2 linked regions of the Caenorhabditis elegans genome follow. The protein of the gene in region 2 purifies or fractionates together with the protein of the main gene of each other region. This does not show direct contact. Each region holds a gene or a part of one and is shown on either strand. Other genes may lie near its edges.

Region 1 (3,755 bases), on a different chromosome or scaffold from region 2:
AATGATCTACAAATCAAAAACTTTCCATCAAGATTTGATATAGCTCGCAAATTAGGGAATTCAACTGTACGAAACCCGAAATTTTCAGTATTAAATTTCTTTTTCCAAGCAGTTATCATAGTGAATAGCCTTACATGGAACCAGCCATAGCCATGCATCGAACAGTGGAAGTATGTCCTTGAAGTGTATGAAGAAGTGAACCATCTACAGTACTCCAAACTTTTACAGTTCTATCAGTGGACCCGCTAACAATATATCTTCCGCATTGAGAAATCTGTGATGTCCAAACTCCTCCAGTGTGGCCGACTAGTGTGTACATAACCTCTCCTTTGTCAATACACCATACTTTAAGAGTGTTATCGTCAGATCCAGTCACCAAGACATCATCATGAATTTGCATACAAGTGATTACATGATCTTCGTGTCCTCGTAGCACTGCTGACCCCATAATTGGATTCGCATTCCAGTTCTTTTCAATTTTATCGGCTCGAAGATAACGTGACTTGTCAGCAGCGCGTTCGAAGATACTGAAAATAAATCGAATGTGATCGGAACGTCTTTAAAAATAATATTTCCAATAAACGTACTCTCCAAACTTCTGCAACTTTAGAAATCGATGAACATTAAGATCACATGGCTGAATGTGATCAGGAATAGTGACTCCAGCAGCAATTGCAGTTCCTTGCCACGCACCAGTAACTCGGTCTCTGAAAAGATAATACTAATCTCAAATAATTCCCGTTCAAAAGTATTACGTGGGATCTGGATGATGTTTAAACTCTTCGACACCAAGACTCTTCCAAATTTTGTCAATTTCAGATATCAATTTCCAATTTTTCGACACCTGTGCCACTTTGAGCAGGTCATATCCGGTTAAATTGTGAAGGATTTTCATTCCGAGCTGAAAAAGTTATATTTATAATTTTTCTTTCCGTTTCAACACAAATACCTCGACAGGGAGGCAGGAGAGGAAATCACGCTGGAAATGGGGTTCAATAATGGCACGCAGCTGTCGAATATTTGTCATGTTGGATTCCTGAAGCAGACGTGTGAATGCATCCATTTGTTCCGCGCTTGATAGATCCTAAAATGAATTCAAATTACACTTTTTTTCAGCAAAAATAGAGCGAATATGCCTGGCTGAGGTGCTCTCTTCAAGGTTTGGAAAAATCAATAATACACAGGTCACCCTCACCGGAGCTTGAATGCATTGTTTTGTCATGTTACTAATTATTGTCGCATTCAAATATTAATTTATTGCATGTGTATTAGCCGCAACGCTGAAAGATTGATCGCGACAATCAATCAATATGTTTACCTTGAATAATGCGATCAAATGTTCGACACGCGGATTGAGGTCGTTGTTTCGAGAGGGAGAAGCCGATAAATCAAGTTTGTGTTGCAAAGGTCTGGAACTGGTACGTTTTGCTATAAATATTCACTACAAAAAGGCTTACGACGATAATTTGTCAGCATTGTAGCTGGAAGAAGAGCCATTGCTGTACGAGCTTTCTTCTCCATTGTCCTGAAGACAAACATTTCAATTAGAATTAAATTATATTCTGAAAAGGGTTGTAAATGTTAACATACATTATATTCCATATCATTATCGGTAACAGGCTCCTGGTCCTCCGGTGTCATCGATCCATCATCCATGTGTACATCATTTCGTGGCCACATATGGCTGAAAAAGAATTGGAAATGAATAAAGGACAAAAACTACTGGGAATGAAGAATTTGAACACAAAAGGAAAGTCGATAAAACTATGATTTTCGTGAGAAAATGAGAAGAGAAGATGAAAGCTTTTTGCACGCGATATGCGTCAAGGCATCCAGTAGTGCGCCAATAACCGCTTGACGCATTTTCCGACGCGCACGTTTGTTCACTTGATGTTCACACGATGAAACATTTTCTATGCATATAAAGTGTATAAAGTTGATAAGATAACTTCAACAAATATTCTCGTGTAAAATAAAATATAAAATGTCCGACTTGTCGGTCACATAATCAGTTTCACAGAAGAAGCAGGTGTTCGATGGTCACTGCTGTTGCATATGACAGCTGGGTTCTCGTCCTTCATGATGGTGCAGAAAAATGTGTTCAACCTTGTTTCAAAATCATTTTTACGGAAAGGTTGTTTCGTATTGCACAAGTAAACCATCCTTATAAATTTCAGGATAATAAGGAATTTAAAAAACGAACTGCATCCCACGAAAACTCTTGTTTTGAAATTTTAAACTGAGTATATTAATTCAGTTTTTGAATAAAATAATACATATAGGTAATATGGTTTTTTAAAACAAGTGATTCAATTTACAACCACAAAAGAAAAATGATTTAAAATCTGTAACATTCTGAACGTAATGTGGTATTTCCATAACTGAATTCAAAAGAATTATGACCATCTGTGGCTACCGAGGGGGTAATTTTATGGAAATGAATACCATAAACTGACAGAAAAAGAGACACGAACACCTGCCACAATTGGAAACAATCGCTTTGGAATTTCTGTATAATATTTCTTCACAAATGTCAAGAACTATTTCTGATATGATAACACATTCATGACTAAACTGCAATTCCCATCTGAAATACGTTAGTTGAGTCATAGCTCACTATTTGCTCCATTTCTTTGTTTTTCACACTTTATTGGCTTTGTATTGCGGGGGGACGAATATGAAAGAATTGAGATGTGATTGAGAGGATTCAATTCATAAATTGTACTGATATTTATCAGCGAAAGTTAAAATTCATATTTGTCAGCAACACATCACATTTGCAAGATATATATTCAATATGCTAGAAATTGCACAAAACCGAAAAATACGATTATTTGAAATAGCCTACATTCTCTGAAAACGGAAATTCCGATTGTTCGACTTCAGGAGGAGCCACAATTTCCAACACTTTTGATATGTTTATTTAGTGAAATAAAAACTGAAATAAAATCCAAATCTATTCAAGAATGACGTTGGTATCAGACAATAAATTCGTGAAATATATTTTTATTTTCACGCCTTTCTACCTATATCATTTCGATAAAAAAAGGACGACGAAACATGAAAATAATTAAATTAAAATAATTTGGCAATTTTGATACTAGTCCAGCTCCAGTATGTCAAAAAATTCGATTAGTTGAAAGAGACCTGACCAATTCGGAAATTTCTGTAGAACGATTTTGGAAAGCTGAAAAAATGTTTTCTTGGAAGATTTTCACATTATAATTAAAATTTGAACTGCAAAACTATAGAAACAAAAACAGAATAAAAATGAGCTCTAATTGTAAATTTAAGGATAAAATCAAATACCAACATCATACGTGTTGCCAAAATTTAGGGTTTTCGGTATGGTGTCTAGAAAATGAAATAGTGGGTATACCTGATTTAAAATTAAAAAGTGTTCAGTCTGTTGTTAAGACTATTATATGTTGCCCACAAATTATTAAAAATGGGTATTTCAGAAAAACAAATGTATTATTTTTGTAGAGCTTTATTTATTTTCAAATATAAATGGCCAACTTACAAACTTTTTGATTACAATATGATGATCTGTTTGTTGGTTTATCGAAAAACGGCATGTTCAGAAATTGCCGAAATTGAACATTTTTTAGAAAATTCCTTGATTACCGCCCACCCCTACAACAAAAGAACTACGGTATTTACTTTCTGATCCGATTTGAAATTCTGGTAATCTACGTGTGTTCAAAAGTTGAAGTGGAAGCATCAAAAATGGATGCAACTTTGAAACTACTTTT
Region 2 (3,755 bases):
AGAACCAGGAACCGGAGGAGGATGTGAACACTGTCCAACACCGAGAACTGCTCCAGGATATTAAATTGTTCATTGTTATAATTATTGGCGGAATGAACGTTTTTAAAATAATTTCAGCTAAAAATTTAGAAAAGAAGACAAAATATGGTGTTACTAGTTTCTACAAACGTTTCCGTTTTTTAATAGAATAATTAACTTACGAAGTATAAACAAAAGGATTGTTCGTCAACGTAATCAATTCTTCTTCTCCATTTCTTCCGCGTACTGTTCTATCAGGTATTCGATGTACATAAACCGTTTGAACCATTTCATCAACTTCGACAATCAAAATTCGTTTAACGAAATTCCCTTGAGCTGCAACTTCAAACCGACAACGAGTATCCAATTCAACAATATATCGTCCTCCAGCAGTACAAACTCTTTGTCCTTCTAACCTATCCATTCGGATCGGCCACAACTGTGAACGGTTTCGATCTTCACGGCTTGGAGGTACGGTACCGCGGCCACTGTCTCTATCCCGTTCTCTTCCTCTCTCAGAATCAAATCCTCTTGAAGATGTAGAAGGCATCTAAAAATAAATTGTAATATATTTTTAATGCATTTAATTGTCAAAAATAAAATAAAATTTTTGTGATCTGCTGGAACACTTACCCTGTCATGAATTGGTCGATTGCTCAGCGGTGCTCTGCCAGAATGTGCAGGTTGACTCGAAGACCTTATCAGAGCTCTGCCATCTCGAGATCGATCATCTCTTGAGGATCTTACTGGTTCCCTCGATCTCTGTCGTCGTCCATCCCGCGAGTGTTCTCTCGAGAAGATTACCGCATTTTCATTCGTATTCTCGTACATGAACTCTGATAAAACTATCTGCGTTAACGGAATACGCTTCTTTGCATCTGTATCCATCATTTGTTCCACTAATCTAGCAGCATTTGGTGACATTCCGCAGGTTGGTGGTAGTCCTTTAGGTGGGGGATTACGAGCAGTGAGCATAGTATAGAGAACTGCACCAAGAGAATATACATCGGCAGACTGGGTATATTCTTGATCGTATACTTGTGGAGCAATGAATCCTGGTGTTCCGACAATTGTACATGTGGTCTCACCACGCCCAAGAGTGGTCGCGAGGCCAAAATCGCCAAGTTTAACCGTCATTTTCTTCTTTTTCGAGTCTTTGATGAACACATTACCAGCCGAGAGGTCTCGGTGAATAACATTCACCCTGTGCATAAAAGATACAGCAGAAATCAGCTGTCGTAAAACATGAACTGCTGTTGCGTCGTCCAGAGCTCCGTGCTCCCGCACATAAGCTTGAAGAGATCCTCCTTCGCACAACTCCATGACTATGTATGTATAACCATCTTCAACGAAATCTTCGTAAAACTCGACCACATATTTGCTTTTCTTCAATTCCTTCATCGTTTGAATTTCCGTCCAAACACGATTTTTTGGCACCTTTTTATCGATCTGAAAATACAATTTTTGTAAAGAAAAAAAGTAGAAAAATTGTCCCATTCGAATATCTTTAGAAAACAGCATGAAACTTACCCTCTTAATCGCCACCTTCTCTCCATTTTCTCTTTGTGCTGCATATACAACGCCGAATCCACCTTTCCCGATTTCTTTTAAATGTGAATAGGCCTGAAGAAAATATAGATTCTTACATGGTATCGGCAAAAATAGTAGAAATACCTACACTCAATCTTGAACCACTCTTCCCACCGCTCATCTCATAGTTGATCAACACTTGGTGCGCTAAAAATAAGATGAAAAAACACAAAAAATAGGAAAAATAAATTTGGAGTTTGAAAAATCCGTTTTGGCGGCCGAGGGACTAGAATTCATATTTCGGTCGTCTGTCAGTAGAGCGCAACTGTTCAGTTATCGGTTTTCTCTGCGTCTCTCGTTTCGTAATGTGTTCAAACTCAACGCGCTCTCCAGGTCTGCACAATTTTTCTTTTTATTCCTTTTTGGAGTTTTCCATTTATTTTAAACGTTTCCGATTAAAAATACATAAAATTATTGATTACAGGATAAGGAAACTTCGGAGAAAGCCATCGTATGTCGTTCGTCCCATCAGAAGTTCGACTTGATCACACATTTTTAGAGTGGGACAAAGAGTGGATATTCCAGCGTCTGCCAAAGGTTTGTGACAAGCTTTTCGAATAATTAAAGTGTAAAACCCGTAAGTATTGAAATTAAAATTATTCATTTTTAGACCGAGATTCAAATTCCGCGCGAGTTTGAGCCAGATATCGAAACCGACGCAATTCCCACCATTGCTCGTCAGCCCGCCGACCCAAACACTACCTGGAACGAGACTGGTTTGGATCAAATTCAAATGGGACCAACCATCAATAGTACAAAAAATTAAATCAAGGTTTGTGAAAGTTGATGTAATTTTTTAACTTCTTACACAAATTTTCAGATGGGAAACGAACAAAGCTCGTCAACAGCGGGCACATCATCTAATCCTCAAAATCAACAGTCGTCTTTTTCATTTCTCACTCGAGCCAGTACTAAACGATCAAAAGGCATTATCACGGTCAAAGATGGCAATATTCCTCAAGAAAAACTCGAAGATGATGAAATTTACAAAAGATTCACCGAAATTCCCCGTTTTTTGCCGGTGATTCCAGCCGTAATAGGCAAACGAGATCCACAAACGAATCAAGGAGCTTCTTACACTCATCAAAAAATCAGTTCGCGGCCCTTTTTTCGGTAAGATTTATTCCTTTTATTCAAAGTTTTAAAGTCACATATTCAGACTAGCAACACGATTACAAGAACATTTTGCCGTTAATGCGAAAGCAGTGGCAGCAGATCAAGCTAAAATTCCAGCAACTTGCAAGAGTGTTGAAGCGAAAATGATCAGACTTATTGAAGAAACAAGAGCTCATAAAGAACAACATGACGGTTTTATGGCTGCATTGAGCGGACTTAATCAATTGCACGATGACATCTGTAGTATTCAGGTGCGAATTAGAAAAAGAAACAATATTTAATGCATCATACCAAAATTGATTTTTAAAATGTTGCACCTTACATTTTTGCTCAAAAAACTTGCTCCGTTTATCAAAAATTAATTTTCAGATAATTCTTGAAGATATTGTGCCAATGGTTGAAACGCTTAATGAAATTCTAACTCCCGACGAACGTCTTCCTCCTCTTAATCTTGGCTCAGTGCTCGACAGATCTCCCGTTCCAAGCAGTGATAGCTCACTTCAAAGTACGCCCCGCCATAATCAAAATATTGGTCATATTGATCAAATTGAGCCGATTGAAGAAATCCGCGTAGTTGATCTACCAAAATAATTAATTTGTAAATTTTTATTCTCTTCTTGAATCTGTTGCCCTATCGCCCTTCCCAAAAAGTCTTGAAGGCTTTATCTCACTTTCTTCTCGCAATATCAAAATTCCATTGCCGTTTTGTGATTTTTTATTTAGTTCATGCACATATTTATCCGTCAATCCTATTTTGATTTCTAAATTTATCATAAATTCTAGTATTTTTCGCAAATTAATCTAATTAATTTACTTTGAATCTAACTTATATGGTTTGTGCCTTTTTCATATTTCCATTTCTTGTAATTAATTGCATCATTAATTAATTTTTAGATCACCAGCAATGAATGCGAGCTCCAGAACCAAACCTGCAATCGATTTGAACAAGGTAATATCTTAAAATCTCATCATAAAACTTTAAAGCTAAATTTTTTAAGGTTCCTCCGATCGATCATCACCGTACAGCAGTA

Evidence for each region.
Region 1: the proteins of zyg-1 (region 2) and sel-10 purify together in Caenorhabditis elegans (affinity purification with western blotting, with the first as the bait; one study listed by BioGRID). This does not show direct contact.

The regions. Positions count from the first base shown.
Region 1 is NC_003283.11:13,817,290-13,821,044, reverse strand, and holds the start of sel-10 (F-box/WD repeat-containing protein sel-10), read right to left. Parts: upstream 1,685-3,755; 5' UTR 1,681-1,684; coding exon 1,591-1,680; intron 1,526-1,590; coding exon 1,458-1,525; intron 1,416-1,457; coding exon 1,319-1,415; exon of another isoform or gene 1,196-1,318; intron 1,085-1,195; coding exon 950-1,084; intron 902-949; coding exon 756-901; intron 708-755; coding exon 588-707; intron 528-587; coding exon 135-527; intron 1-134. UniProt on the Caenorhabditis elegans protein: Probable substrate recognition component of SCF (SKP1-CUL-F-box protein) E3 ubiquitin-protein ligase complex, which mediates the ubiquitination and subsequent proteasomal degradation of target proteins.
Region 2 is NC_003280.10:5,647,748-5,651,502, reverse strand, and holds the start of zyg-1 (putative serine/threonine-protein kinase zyg-1), read right to left. Parts: upstream 1,756-3,755; 5' UTR 1,730-1,755; coding exon 1,697-1,729; intron 1,642-1,696; coding exon 1,549-1,641; intron 1,468-1,548; coding exon 652-1,467; intron 569-651; coding exon 201-568; intron 110-200; exon of another isoform or gene 65-109; coding exon of another isoform or gene 1-64. Other genes in the region: bli-2 (Nematode cuticle collagen N-terminal domain-containing protein), read left to right, coding at 1-64; F59E12.17 (Anaphase-promoting complex subunit 13), read left to right, coding at 2,062-2,145, 2,219-2,374; sam-4 (BLOC-1-related complex subunit 5), read left to right, coding at 2,429-2,721, 2,768-2,975, 3,094-3,315; ddl-1 (WASH complex subunit homolog 3), read left to right, coding at 3,629-3,673, 3,723-3,755. UniProt on the Caenorhabditis elegans protein: Protein kinase that plays a central role in centrosome duplication, control of centrosome size, spindle formation and nuclear envelope breakdown during cell divisions.